Linked DNA regions of Lepisosteus oculatus. The protein of the gene in region 1 interacts with the protein of each later gene in a pairwise test. Links are inferred from orthologs where the notes say so. Each region holds a gene or a part of one and is shown on either strand. Other genes may lie near its edges. The genes, in order: caska and tbr1b.

Region 1 (7,959 bases):
GTTTGTCTTGCTGGATTGATTTCTGGGGACAATCGGGCAGAGCACACCAGTGAGTTGGGAAAAGAACATCAGCAGGGTCACAAAAACTGACTTTAATATAATATCGTTACCTAGTCAAAAGGCAAACTGAGGATGTTAGCAATTGCTTCTATTTCTGTCTCCAGAAAATACCATAGAAAAGACAATTGATGGAGACAAGTGTACGAGTATTGCTCATCTGATTAGTTCCTGTTTGAAGTGAATAAACTATCATTTCTGGTTGTTTGGTTGAAATGCTGTACTGTTGCCAAAAATTGACTGGTCAATTATGCAACTTACAAGTAAAATATACCTTGCCTGCAAAAGTACTAAAGATAAAATACTGGTTCTCATTTAGAAAGGCTTTATATATAAGACTAGCCCCATAGACCCCATAGCAGAATCAGAATACTATGATTGCTTTGATTTATGTAAATAGTTATATTTTGTGCTTATTCTAAAGGAGAGCTGCTTCCTGGTTAAAGAAGAACTAACCTACTGACATTTAGACATCTGTAAAAAGGATTTCCGGCTAAGACAAAGACTTAAGCGTATGACTGAAGCTTTCAGGCTGTGCCTGTCCACTCTTCTGTTGAAAATGTTTGCAACTACATCGGTGAAAATAATGTAGCATACCTAAAGAGACAGATGAAAAACTGATCGCTTGATTATCAGGAAGGCAGAGGGGGACAGATGTTCCACAGTTAAAACAGCTCAAGAACAAGGCACAGCAGATGTCATTTTTCAAAACTGAGAAATTAAACTGTGAAATATTGTGTAGCCGCACCCATTATTTACAGGTCGCATGAATGGAAATAATGATGACGTTGCAGTACAAAGTGATCTTGGATGGACTATGTACCCCGTAGAGCCTTGAATGGCACCTTATTCACATGTGAGCTGCATTGAAATGCATGACAGGGGAAGGGTGCTGTCACAGATGTCGGAAGGGACAAACCGTGGAGAGGCAGGAGAGCGAAAAACACCCTATGCGAAGTGGCGGAACGGGGAGTTAGCCCGGGCTCAGCAGTGCAAAGAGTTCTGGAGTGCTGTATAGAAACCTAAGCCCTAAGGCCACGGACAGAGCGGCGACCTGGTGCTAGGCGGGTCTCAGGACATCTGAACATCAATGCTGAGCGAAGCAGAATAAGTGACCCGGAAATATATAGCCCCAGAGAGAGAGACACCGGAAGGAGAGCAAACACAGGAAACTAGGGACAGGACAGAGAAGGAGCGCCCTCTGGCTGCAGAGGGCGTGACAGGTGCAAGGCGATATTATATGTAAAAGACATCTGAGACAATGCCAGACAGCCTTAAAGCTTTTGAAGAAAATAAAGGGACACCCCATCATACATTAACAGCCCTAACTAGCTCTGGTGATAGAGCTTGAAACTCATAATCTCAGGATAGTGGGTTTGTGTCCCTCGTTGGGCGCCAGGTCCTCCACGTTGGAGGTTGGGCACAAGGTGAACAGCCCTGTCCTGTAACAAAACCCAAAATGTTATGGACAGGATGAAACAGGATGTTGCTGCCCCTACATCCCAGAAGGCATAATGGGCAAACATCCATCCATCATACATGAATACATTCTAGTAACCTTTTGAACAGAGAAGTGACTGAGAGCCTCTTGAGTGGCTCATATGACAGCCTGGAGACTGTTCACATACAAGTTACACTCTCTGGCATATCCTGGCTTTGGCTGTGGTTTCCTGTGGGTGTTGCTGTGAAGGTGTCGTGTGTTGGGATGGTGGATCTCTGTACTTCAGGGGTGCCTTCAACCCCCCCATGAATTTAACAAACCTCAAGCAGTACAACACCCTCTCATCCAGCTTCCCAAGAATCCTTCTAGGTCCATTCAACTTTTAGGTCCAAACCCACCACTCTTGAGAAATTCCCTTCTACTGTATGTCATTGACCACTGATTCGGACCATATGCTTGCATGACTGATGACTATTTATCAGTAGCAGCTATTTCCCTTCTTTCTATTGAAAGAAGAACTTTGTTATTCAGAGCTGCAGAATCTAATTGCCAAACAAAAAAAAATTGCAGCTGGCTGGGCACCCCCTCTGTCTAGTAGGATGCTTGTCTAATGTCTTCATTAAGCCTCCCAAGTCCATGCAGAGCTGCAGTCATGAGTCTGGCAATTCCAGACGAGGTGTTTACAGAAGGACAGAAATAAAATTGGCGAGTAATGTTGTTTTTTTCTCGGAAATGGTGAAATGCTCCTATCTGTGTCAATGTTGAAACTTATGTGATTCTCAAGGCCAGGCTACTATATACTCCCTCGTTAGTGTCTGCTTTTTTCTGGTCTTATGTTGATATTAATATTGGTATTATAACGGACTTTTTACAGCTGAATTGACTCCGCACCTTGCTTTACCTCTGTGTGATCTCCAGATAAAGAGTGTTTTATTGAGGTTAAAAGATACTTTGGCACTACAAAAGCTTACAAGAGTACTTGGGTGTATACAGAACAAAAGTTTTCAGAATAATAATAACTTTGAACATTTCCTTCTTGATTAAAATGCCATAGTTTTATTCCTTTTCCATGTTTTCTTAGATTTGAAATTCCGCCCATTCAGGCAACCCAATGTCTTACAGGAATGGGCCATGGAAATAGTACAAATAACATGCGTTAGTGACAACTGCAGTAAATGACCTGCTCTGTTTGAAAGAGGTTGCATTGTATCCGTGAGGAAGGAATGCTCTCTGCATGTTACATTGCTTGACAGCTCTGTCATGCTGTTTGTTAAAGCTCTTTGCTTTATTCACTCTCACAATTTCCAGAAGCATTGATGGAAATCTCCCAGGAATCTCTCCAGAGAAGCTTCCATGCTGAAAAAAATAAAGTTTTATGCATAATAAAGAGGAATAAAAAACAAAAGCTAGGCTCACCCCCTGGAACCAAAGGAAAAGAAAAACAATAGTCCTATTGTTTCTTTTAGCAAAAGACAAGAATGGATTTTTAATATTTTAGCCCCAATTAGGCGAGAAGACTGCAATACTATCAATCCATCTTTCTCAGAGGAAGGGGCTGACCAAAATAAAAAACATTCAAACAGAAAAGGCATCCAGATGCGAACTGTAAAATTATTCTGATGTTGTTTGAAGCCTTGAAAGCACAATGACGCAATAGAAGAATGTTGCCATTTCTGCTTAAGTGGATGCTTTTTAAGAATGGCTTCCTGTTTATGTGAAGTTTTATTCAAAAGAGCAGGCTCCACATGCACATAATGACACCCCTCTAACACGAAGCACAAAATAGAACAGACACAAACACTTGCATGTAAATGAGGAAAATAAAAAGGTGTTACATGGCTACAATGACACTACTGTGGGAACAATTCCATTATTTTTGGTCCTTTTAATATAGCATAGTGTGTTTCCATTAACAGCTCTGTTATAAATTGTCAAAACGGTTCCAATAAAATTTAACGTTTTTAGAATTTCAACTGGAATTTCAAAGGTGACATAATGTTTTTTAGGGAAGTGACATTTACAACCTTAAACACCTCTTAATAGTGCTTGTTTTAATATGTTTAATATATCCAGTGGTACTGTTCCTTAAATTTATAAATGACTTAAAGCAGAAAAAAAGAACTGCTTGCTTTGTGATTTGCTAAAGCACAGCTGCTTTCACGTGCACGTCTGTCTTGTTCAAGGCTGAACCGACAGCAGACATACCCTCCAGCAAACATTTTAGTGCTACCATAGCAATCACACACAGGTCATAAACGTTTAGATTTTGAGGCGGTTTGAAAACACTTACAAATAGGATCCATTTACACATGCGTGCCAGAATAGCGAGCGGTGAACCCGCCTAACATCCTGAACTCCCAGTTGCTAAGTGTAAATCCAGGAGCATTGGGTGGCTTTTAATTGTATCCGAGGTCAGCCTTTGTGACTGCAAAAGCTGCCAGTGGCTCAAGTGTCTGCTTTCTTCAGATACAGGGCTTCCCATGAATACAGTGTATTGTTGATGTTGTAGGTGGGGTCATTAAGATGTGATGTGATGTGGCAGGGCTGTCATCTCGTGTTCGTGACTTGAGCTCCAGAAGACGAGCTAGCAGGTCATCACGATGGTTACAGCGCTATAGGAAGAAAATGCATTCGGTAGTTTCACTGTACAGTACGTGCGAATATGAAGAGGTTCGAAGTTTGCTTCCTATATTTCATTTACAAATGGCTTTTAAACAATGATTAACAAGGTGGCAAACATTTAACAAAATTCCAAGTGGATATTTCTATTCACAACGATTTATGAAATAGAGGTATTAACACTCCAAGCTGCCTTCGCTAACTAGCTTTTCTGTTTCGCACAAGCTGAGTAAGCCTTTGCTACGCCTCAGCAATGAACTCTTTCCCCTGCCCCATCCAGGTGCGGTGAGTCACCAGCCACCTCTCCTGCCGCCTCTCCTAGTCCCCGCTTTTGCTTGGCTGGGTGGAAAAAGAAAAGCATTTGTGAAGGAAAGAGGTGACGTCACCCGATGGGTATAAGGTGCCCAACGCGTGCGCCGTAGGCTTTCGTTGCTACCTTGGATTGGTGGACACGGAGCAAGGTTTTATTAAGAAGGAGTCAGGAAACTGCGTCTTGTTTAATAAAAAAGGCGAAAGGTACGCCATCTTGGATCCCCGGGCTGCGTTGTGCATTGCAGGATTCCCAGGCTCCCGATGGAGCCACAATGGCGCTCTAGGAGCCAGTTTCGTAACGTTGGGAGGGAGGAGCCTGCCGTTTCTGGAAGCCGGAGCAGCAGAAGCAGCAGCAACGGCGGTGGCGGCGGCGGAGTGGCGGAGTAAGAGAGGAAAACTAGAGCAGCGGCGAACTGGAGAAGAGACTGGGAGATCCATTTTTTTTTTACAGCGCTGGTACACCTGAACACACACGGGGAAAAAAGCGTGTGCATGAAAAGACAGACAATGAGCGTCTTTTAAGAGGAGCCCAAGCAAGCACGGCGTGCAAACTAGCTGCACGCCCAGGAGGGCATCGCAATTTGTTGGATTAATCCCGTGCAATATTATTTCAAAGAAATAAATCTATATATAGAGGCATCGCAGCGTGGACTGGGAGAGCTTTAGCTACAGCTACACCGAGGAGCAACGCAGACGCAGGCGTAGGAGAGGCGGAGTGTTTATTTTAAATCGCTTGAAAATCTCAGTTTGCAGCCTCAGAACTGGGGGATTGGGGATTGAAGCCGGGGAGACGAGGAGAAGGTGGGGCCGGAGACCGAGTCAGACAAACGGACTAAAATACGCAGAAATCGCCGGAGCCCGAGCGCCTTTGCTTTTTTTGGTGGGGGAAAGGAGTAATTTTCCGCCTATTGGAATTTGGAAAGCCACCGAACGGCGTTTCGCGATTTTCCCAGTCTTTCCCTCCCCCAGTCCAAGAACAGCAGTACAGAATTGTGATCCTTTGTTTTATTTTTAAATATACCGTTTTGGCTGGGCATATTGGGGGATAATTTCCCCATTCTTGTTGGGCCATGGCCGACGACGACGTGCTGTTTGAAGATGTATACGAGCTCTGCGAGGTGATCGGAAAGTAAGTGCCGTGTAAAAATTCAGATTGTACAATGAAATGCAATGCATTCTGTTTTTTTTTTTTAGTTACAGACGTTGACGCAAGATGTTCATGGCTTCACGAGTTTAATCGTGTGCTTATTGGCAAACTAGGTGTGAGGTTTTTAGGGATGTTCCTGAGCGCACGATTTAGGCTGTTGTAATTGAAAATGACTGTCCTGGTGCATCAGCCGAGTCTATTGGGAGATAATTCACGATTTCAGGAGTTGAAACGAGTGACCGTTTCGCCTGGGGTTGCTCTAATACATTTCAGTTGACAGTTTTAAAATGCACTTCGATTAAAAGGTCTTGTTTTGGAGAGACTGCACGTATTCAGAAAAAAAGGCGTTGACAATATTGAGTTACAACATCTGGCAGCAGTAGGTGGGATTTGACACATTCATAGATTTCCATTTAAACCTTTGTTTTCAATGTACAAGATTCAGTCAATCTTGTGGTTTTGCAGAGGCATTCTGCTTAATCTGTATAGATTTTGTGCTTAATGTGTGTAACATTTTAAACCCTTTCTAAAATCCTTGTATCTGTAGGCGGCCCTTGATATGGTAATGGACAGCTGTGTGTGAAACATGAATGTTACACGTAACTCTTAGTGTAAATTCGACCGTATGCAATGGAGCAATTCTCTGCATGCTACTGGCAAAGTGAAAGTGTTTGCTGTTGAAGATAACACTGTGTGTACTTCATCAGTGTTTATTTTGAACTATTGCGGGAACTCATCCGTTGCTTTCTTTATCCGTGTTGTGTAATTACGCTTGGCAAGGGATAAATCCAGACCAAGATTATTCAAAACGGGGATTAAGTTTTAAAGCAGTAGCATACCTTTCAGAACAACGAACAGGATATCTTCTTTAGTAAACGCTTTATTTCCGTATGGTTTAAGAGATGGCAGTCTTGCATCCGTTTATAAATGAACGCTTCACCTGTGTCGTGTGTTGTAATTTTCGCTTACTTTTCGTGGACGGGACTTTTTTTTTGTGGTCACGGTGATTTTGCAGTGTCTGCTTTTCGCTGACAGCTTTCGCTCAGGTGCACGGATGATCAGGTTGTCTTGATTATTAACGTGGGCATAACATGCCTTTTCGTATATTAAGTGAAGGGTTTACGCAATCTTACGATTTTTCATCCCAATATACTAAACATTTCCATTCCAATCCCGCTTACGTTCTGAATGGGTTTTAGTTGACGTACATCTCAGTGTGAAGCGTTACATGTGATTGCATGTGGTCACATGATGGTCGTTAACGTATTCTTCCCCACCAAAGAAACATTAAATGGGAGACTTTCCCTGTAATTGCCTATGAGCTCAGAGCGCTGATGTGTTTTGAGAATGCAAATGGAAAATTCGTGACCAAAAAGTGGAATCACGACAAAAACCTGAAAATGAGCTTCTGTGATCGTGGCACAGGTTTTGCTAAAGGAAAGTGAAAACTATGGAGAGCTTTACTGCTCCGCCCTCTTGAGAGTTTTAACGTACACAGTATAGCGTGATGAGGTGAACTACGATCCACATACTAAGTGAGTATAGCGTGCTGGCCTTCTCCTCCAGCAGACCGCAAATCAATACAGGAGTCGGTTTAGTGTAGGAATCGCTTTCCACCAGATTGCAAACCGTCTGTCCTGCACAGGATGTGCCTTCTCTTTTTGAACCAGAATGCAGGGTGCTGTGGCTGATGATTTGGTGCATGTCACAGTGTGTGCTTTCCGATTTGTGGGTACATTTGTGTACTTGAAGGAGGCTGTTCAGATGTACACATAGTTATTAATAACATTAGTGACCAAAGGCCTGACTGTGAACACCAAATTACATTGCCGTGGTGCCTGGTAGTTCACAATTGTGAACAGAAATTAGGTAATCTGAGATATGCATTGAGGTGTAACGTGTAGCCTATGTAGTAAATATTTTTGGTTAGTTATGAAGCCACTACTAGCAACTGTAATGAGAAGCATCAGTTAATCAATTTTATTTATAAGGCATCGTTTCACATTTTGAGGTTCACAATTACATAAATGTTTCCGTATGTCCAGACAGTTTGTCATGGACAAAAGCAGAGAATGGCACAGCTGTGGTGTATAGATGGGGACAAAAATGGTCTCCAAACTGAGCTACAAAGCCAAAGTGCTGTTAACCTAATATCTAAAATGTGACAAATCAAAAAGTAAGGGGAAGGTCGATACTCCACTCGAGTGATATTGCAAGGCCTTTCACTTTCACAACGTGCTGTTTGTGTGAAAGTCACTAATACTTTGTGACTTTACATGCATTTAATGGGGGATTGTGTGGTGTTCTGGCCTTGTAATGTGACGATAGCTGGTTCAGACTCCAGTGGATCTGCAGGTGTTCCCTTGAACAAGGTGTTGCACCA
Region 2 (7,934 bases), on another chromosome or scaffold:
GATTAGACACTCTGGGTTGTTGCTTATACGCAAGTCATCCAGTAACTCACTGATGTACTCTTATGTACTGATACAGCTGCCATAAAATTCTAATATCCATAATGAACTGATGAACGTGCAATTTATGTTTTGTAGTGTGTAATTGATATTAGCCTGGTAAATACAAGCATATCTCTATTTTATTAACAGAATTGAGCAGTGGTTTCCTCTTCTAAAACTTTACAGTAAACCCTGCTTTAAGCAAAAAGGGAGAAGTACGTGGTGTGTGAATGATGGTAATAAGTGGTATTCTATTCCATGTTCAGTGAACCAGCTCTTAAGAGTTAAGCTGTGCCTTAAACCACTCTGCCAAATAATGTGTGTTAGTGGTTTATGTAATGCAATAGTAAGTTTGAACTGTTCACATTTGAATGGATGATTTCTGAAACTGAGCAATTATATTTGAGATGATATTTATTGGTTTAATGAATTAATGTTAAAAATTATTTCATCTTAACCTTGTGTTTTTTATAGAATGAGCAAGTTAAATGTAGGAATGTCCAATAAATATGGGATTTAATTATTATTGATTACAAAGATGTTATTACCAATATAATATGTATTTAGGGAATGATATTTGCATCTAGTGTTCAATTAAAATGTGCTCTCTAAAAAAGATTGCCAGTTTTGCAAATAATAAACAAGTAAGGTATGTCGTTATTAGAATTCTGTGATCTACTGATGTACAGAAATAAAGCTAATTTAACATGGTAAGAAAATCTCCACTTTTATTATTGCCCAATTATTTCTATCAAGATTTTCAAAGTTAATGGTTATGTCTACAGTAAAACACATATGAGTAAACAAATAGCTGCAACTACCTCCCTCCCCATCCCAAAAAAACCCTGAGGTTTAGATAGCGTTGTCATTAATAATTACAGGTGTTCCTCAGAGATTCTGGGTTCCGATTCGGTTAGTTGTGTAACTAGCTTAGTCGAATGCAAATAACTTTTAAAAGTAAGACAAATAAACCATGGAACTGAATTGTTCCCTTGCCTGCAGTGGGTATAGAAAAAAAAAACAGCCTTAACTACAGGTCTGCTGTGGATGTTAAAGTGAACCATAATGAGTAGGAAATGGTCTGGCCTCTTGATTGGGCATAGGCAAGTCCATGCTTGTATGTTTCAAGAGAATAGATTACTGGACCTTATTGCACAGCTGTAATGACCTCTCTCGTTAACCTTATAGCTTCAGACCTCTTCATTATTATATAAACAATTTGTGGTTCCACAAAGCCTGTGTCGGAATATCATACAAAGAGTTTTGCACATTTAAATGTATCCAGTGGAAAAAAAACAATATTTTTTGTCTTTTCAATTTTAATAAAACAATGCACATTGTCTGAATGAGAGAAGTAATTCTTCTCTTTACCTCTAACACTTCTTTAAAAGATGTTGGCTAATGTAATTGACCTGCAGGGTTTACCCATGTGATTTGAAACCCTACATAGCCTTTGTCACAAACAGTGTGATGCACTTTAAATATAACCACTGTGGTCACTAAGAAGTAACATGTGGTACTTTTAATTGGTATCCTAAAGTAATATTAATTGGTTTGCACTAGGTACTCTAAAAAAAAATTGCAAGCCATATTTTAAATCAAAATTAAATTCTTACACATTAAAGCAAATTCTTTCCACTCTAAAATCAGTACACATGGGGTTTCCAATTCATGTTTGAATCTTGATAAAGTAGTTTAAGAATCTTAATAGTACTTTGTAGGTGGCTGAATGATATCAAAACTTTAATATATTGTAATCTTTGAGAATCATGTTCAAAAATTGTTTCCTTTGTACTCCACAGAGCTGTCAACCTTAATGTAATGTTTTTCATAATTGTTTAATCTATCACTGTACATTACTTAAACCTCGGTTTCTTTTGCAGGCTTTAATCCATGGATTGAACAGGCATTATTACTCAATTACCATCAACTACAGGAAAAATGAACTAGAACAGAAGGTTTGTAGTCTCTTCATTGTACTGTTTTTAGATTTTGTTAATGTAAGGTTGATTGAGTCTTTAAGATTTAGACAGTGTAACAAGAGACATTTGTGTTCTCTGTACTGATTTTGAATGGGAGTTATTTCTCAAAACTACGGAACAGACAGGAACATTTTATCAAATTGATTTTTGTTTTAACAGTCAGAGCCCATATTTATTAATTTTGATGCATTAAAACCTCACAACAGATGTTTAGATGTTGAATTAGTTAAATAGGATGCAGTTTAAACAATAAACCTAAGTTTACACCTAAAATAAGATTACCGTTTGAAGCTTTTAAAGAATATAAAAACATAAAAAGGGTTGCAAACGATAACAATTCAACCCACCTAGCTCTGCTAGCAGCTAATTTACCATTTTGTTTGGTTTCAATTGATGTAATGTTTTGCAAAGGTGGGTCGTTTACCATTATCACAGTACTGAAGTTAAAATAAAGCAATTTACTAATCACATGTAGGCAGTGCTCTTTACTGAATACTATGTATTTTCCCTATAACCTGGTTCTGCCTCTTAAAAACAGATTATGTTCTCCAAGTGAACATATAGGTGATCTCCAAATGATTAATGTATACAGACTCGGAGATCTAAATCCTACTCAGACTTGCTCCCAGATTTCCAGAATTACCAAACCCCAAAATAAATGGTAGTCTTTGTGGGCATCCTTCAGCACCGCAGCACACAACACTATTTTCTAGGTAATATATTTACTTTTAAATTTCATTTCATGCATGTCTCTAAAAATATTATTTTTAGATGCTGCTTAATTTGCATAAGAAGAGCTGGATGGAAGGACTGACCCTTCAGGATTACAGTGAACACTGTAAGCTTAATGAAACGATTGTGAAGGAGATGCTTGAGTTGGCCAAAAACTACAACAAGGTGATGTAGCAACAGACTTGCTGTTTTCTAACTACAATTAAATTAAGATTTCTTGTTTTTCCCTTTGCAGCGCATCAATAAAGACCTTTATTTAATGATAGCAAATTGGACTTTTTTACCTTCAAGAAGGTTATTGGCCAAATAGCCTAGTGGTTACACTGGAGTTGACTTTGTGAGACTATTCAAAGACTTCATTGTTACAAATCAAGTGAGAAAAAAAACTAATGGACAATCAGTATCCACTTCAGAACAGCTTGTGGCTGCTTGCATTGTGATACCACCAAGCCTCAAGTAACACTTCATTTTGTTACAGCTTTAGCTCTTTGATAAAACTAACAGTGCGCTCGCTACCTTAAGCAGAATTTAGATCGTGTTAAATGTACAAGAATTAATTAAATTATTGAAATTTCCAGAAATGATTAAAAGATGCTTCTGAGACAGGCTTCCAAAACATCTTTAAATCACTATAAACACAAAAATTAAATATTTTTGTTCCTAATTTTAGGCTGTAGAAGAGGAGGATAAGATGACCCCTGAACAGCTGGCAATAAAAAATGTTGGAAAACAGGCAAGTTATTTGTTTTTTATGAGCATTACTGTTTACTAAGAAGAGTCTCAGTATTTTTAAATTTAATAAAATACTAAAATGTAAATAATTCCATGCCATACAATATGTGATGGAATTCCAAGTATAATCTATGAAACTCATATAGAGTTCTAAATTCTGTATGCAAAATTGAAACAGAGGTGTTTAAGACATTTTCTTAAATGTAATCAGTTTGCTTTGATATTTTTTAATTGGTAAAACTGAGAAATAAGGATATTTTCATTTCCCTAGGTATACATCTTAGGTTTTTTTTACAGATGTGGGCTTTTTGTCTGTAATTTTTAAGCTAATTTTTTCATCTTGATTTCCTCTTTTGGAATGTATGTGATGTTCAACTGAACAGTTATGTATTGGATTTTTTTATTATATCCAAAGATGTAAAGGTGCTTTTCCATGTTAAAAATAAAAATGTTTTGTTACAACAAATGAACCATCTTAGTTGCCTTTGGCAACTTAAATGTTTAACAAATAACATTTTTCTTTCTTCACAGGATCCAAAACGTCATTTAGAAGAACATGTTGACGTTCTGATGACATCAAATATTGTGCAGTGCTTAGCTGCCATGTTGGACACAGTGGTCTTTCAGTAGTGCAGCCTTTGTTTAAAAGTCATACTTATTCTTTACTTTTTACTTCAGTTATTTTTTAAAAAAACAGTAACTTGTATAACATGTTTGTGAACATATTGCCGCTAATTAATTCCCTCAGAATAAATGTCTGGCCCCATCACTGATGTTGCACAAAACTTCAGTTAATGTACAGTTTGTCAGTTTTACATGCTAGGAGGAATGCTTTTTGTTTTTTGGTTCAGGTGCAGGAGAATACTATTTCGTCATGGTTTTCTTAAAATATCAGGTGCAGGTGAATGCTACTTTGCAATTTTCTTGAAATATCTGTAAAGATCAGGATTTATTTGTATGTAGTGATATTTATCACCTCTTAAAAATAAAGACAAAGATGACAAATTCAGAACCTTGATCTTTAACTGCCAATGCTTAATGTTGACTGGTTATTTCTTTGAACATAAAACATTGAGAATTTTAAAATAAAGTAATCCCATTTTTGATTATTTTTCAAAATTGTTTTCTGTTTTCTGCATTATCAGTGTGAAATGTTTTAAAAGAGCCATTTGATTTTTCGGATGCAGGACTATATAGAAACAGCTTTGTTCAGGAGCTTGGAATGATAAAAGTGAACTATATTTAATATCTATTTCTGAAACAAAGGCCTGGGATGTCAGAATACTTATGCATGTTAATGAGACTCTAAGCAGTTGCAAAAAAAAAATGTTGGATGTTGTATAATAAAAAGGTGAGGAACCCTTTCACATTCTTGTTCCACCTTCTTGAGGGCTTGAAGTCCTTCCTGAGTCCACCCACAGATAGCTAATTAGTTGCTGAAATAAAGAGGAAGGTGTTTTGAATCATTTGCCTTACACCTTGCATTTCCTCAAATGTAGTGTTTCTCACTGGACAACCCATAGTTGATTGCATGTGTGCATGGCAACAGTGTCATTATAAGGGGGGAAAAACTAATCCCTTACAGTGCCAGCTAAGGTAGACATCTCCAAGTGCACTACTGGCTTTGATTCTGGAATGGGGTGCTTTCTGTGTGGAGTTTGCATGTGTTTTGTCCAGGTGTTCTGGGTTGCACCCAGTTTTTAAAGACCAGTTGGCTAGGTTAATGGCAGCCTATGATTAGTCCAGCGTGTGTGTTTGCCCTGTGCCAGACTGCTGTCCAGTCAAGGATGTAGTCCTGCCTTTACACCTTTTGTCTGACGGTTAAGGCTTTGGCAGATTTTTTACATTGCTGCATAGAATGTTATAATGGAATTGTTGATGTAACATTAGTTCCCCTTGTAAATACCATTTAAAAATAGAAAAACGTTTCTTACATTTTCGTTTTAGTTTGTAAGATACATATTTCATCATCAGTTTTGATATGAATGGTTAGCTGTAATGTTTAAGTACACAGTCACTGTACACTGTGCTGTTCTTTTCCTGACTAAATTCTGAATGTTTAGGTGCTGATACAATGGATGTGGTATAGGAGAAAAATCTTTATCAACGAAATCGTATAGTTTGCTCTGCAAGCCCGGGTATCACTGACTTGAGCCATCCGATTGTAGTAACCCTGCGGTTATGTATTAAGATGTGCAAAGTCTAGATTATATTTTGCATTTGCTAGATGCAGAAATCAACACTTTTTCCTGAGTTAATTTAGCGTTCAGCCTCAAACCTTGGCCGGTCCGCTATCTGTTTTGCTCCAGTTTTGGCAAGAAACGCTGTCACAGTCCTCCACATCAAGAAGTCTCTCACACAGAAAAATAATTGGTCCAGTTCCTGCTGAGAAGATGAAATTCGCTGGGGAATATTTTTTTTTTCCTCAGGAAAACTCAACTACCTATTCGCCGTTCACCGGATTGTAATTCTTTGTTAAAAATGTTTTTTCTTGATTTCTAAGCGAAATGTTCCGAGTATAGCGAGAGTGAATATTATTGACCACAAGCTTTATTCTTGTCTTTTTCTTACCATATAAAACGGCCCTTTTAAATTATTTGAGTGCTTGTGGATCTAATTAATGTATTAGATGTGTACTCTTCATAAACTTTCATCTGAAACTTGATTTCAGATGTTTGTAATGTATAGGCCTGCTTCGTAGACAGTTTCAAAAATCAAAATTTTGTTGTTTTAAGATTCAGCGTCTGCGGAAATTGATTTTTAAAATACATATATGTCATTATACGAATTCTGGCAAAGAAGGAGGTACTTCAACATCGAACGGAATGCTCTAACGCATTAAAGTTGTATTGCTTCACCACGGTCGGCTTAACAGTCTGTAACTATACTAGGCTAACTGCGACCTTCATACTGTATATACACACGCATATATATAGAGAGAGAGCGAATTTAATTATATAATGTCAAAAAATACCTTGGAAGCCAAGAGGTATTTAACGCTTTTCATTTGGTGAATGCATTTTCTATTAGGTGACTTCTGCGTTTTGATTCATATCGAGTCCTAAGTACCAACATAAAATATTCATTTGCTACGGGACCGGTAAACACATCTTTAAAGGTACTGAATCATTTCACGCTATATCACCAACATTTTAAGGCATGAAGTGTGCTGTCATCTTCTGTATTTTAATAATAAATTGTTTCACTCATAAACATACTTTGCTACTCTTGCTACGTTAATGGGTAAATATTGTTCCCATTTCCCTCTATAATGTGTCACCTATAAATTGTTTTTTTTTTAACAGATTAAATGCACTAGAAAAAATGGTTCGCTTTTGCTCTTGGGGAAACCGGTGCGCTATCTACCATTTTCAAATAATTAAAAATTCTAGTAAAATAAACTGAAAAATATGTATTTCATGCACATTTATGTAAAGGCTTTATGTGTTCATTTATGTTTATATTTCGTTTATTGCGTGGGTGGTAATATCACAAATGGATAAATAGCACAAGCCTAATTTAAAATACTTTGAAATATTTGGGTCCACTTTCTAAGATCGAATTGTCCAAAACAAAGAACTATCTTTGATAGTCACAGAGAGACCCCGTATCGCGTCTGTGTGCATCTCTCGCTATTTGCTATCTTTGCGATTAGGACCCAGATGATTATCGTAATTAATGTCTGTCTAATTAAATTACTGTCAGCAACGAACCAATAGCAAAAGTCGTTTCATTAGCATTGCTGGCAGAAGGATCAAAAGCAACCTTGTCTGATTACAGCATAGTGTCAATTGGCTAATCGGCTGTCTAACAAAAACTAGATCAAACCACGGGAAGGCGTTTTCTTTCAAACTAGATTTTTGGGGCGTTAAGTTAACCGAGGAGAGGTTTCACAAAGGTTGCGTGAATCGCTTTTGTTTAAAGAGCTATGCAGCTGGAGCATTGCCTCTCACCATCTATCATGCTCTCCAAGAAATTTCTAAATGTGAGCAGTAGTTACCCAAACTCAGGCGGATCTGAGCTTGCCTTGCAGGACCATCCTATTATATCCTCCACTGACAACCTGGAGAGAAGTTCACCTCTGAAAAAAATTTCCAGGGGGATGACGAATCAGTCAGAGGCAGACAATTTTCCTGACTCCAAGGACGCACCGGGGGACGTCCAGAGAAGCAAACTATCTCCTGTTCTGGACGGGGTCTCTGAAATTCGTCATAATTTCGATGGATCTGCGGCAGAAAGGTATCTGCTGTCTCAATCTAGCCAACCCCAGCCTGCCTCCGCTGCACCTAGTGCAATGTTCCCTTACCCAAGTCAGCATGGACCAACGCATCCAGCTTTCTCTATTGGAAGTCCGAGCCGATACATGGCTCATCACCCAGTGATTACCAATGGAGCATACAACAGCCTTCTGTCTAACACCTCTCCGCAAGGCTACCCAACTGCTGGATA

Evidence for each region.
Region 2: the proteins of caska (region 1) and tbr1b interact in a two-hybrid assay, tested with the Homo sapiens proteins (2 studies listed by BioGRID and IntAct). The link is inferred for Lepisosteus oculatus from reciprocal best matches to the Homo sapiens genes CASK and TBR1.

The regions. Positions count from the first base shown.
Region 1 is NC_090710.1:3,905,080-3,913,038, forward strand, and holds the start of caska (peripheral plasma membrane protein CASK), read left to right. Parts: upstream 1-4,598; 5' UTR 4,599-5,499; coding exon 5,500-5,558; intron 5,559-7,959. UniProt on the Homo sapiens protein: Multidomain scaffolding Mg(2+)-independent protein kinase that catalyzes the phosphotransfer from ATP to proteins such as NRXN1, and plays a role in synaptic transmembrane protein anchoring and ion channel trafficking.
Region 2 is NC_090707.1:14,385,052-14,392,985, forward strand, and holds the start of tbr1b (T-box brain protein 1), read left to right. Parts: upstream 1-4,694; 5' UTR 4,695-7,413; coding exon 7,414-7,934. Other genes in the region: psmd14 (26S proteasome non-ATPase regulatory subunit 14), read left to right, coding at 1,923-1,997, 2,793-2,918, 3,424-3,486, 4,017-4,115. UniProt on the Homo sapiens protein: Transcriptional repressor involved in multiple aspects of cortical development, including neuronal migration, laminar and areal identity, and axonal projection.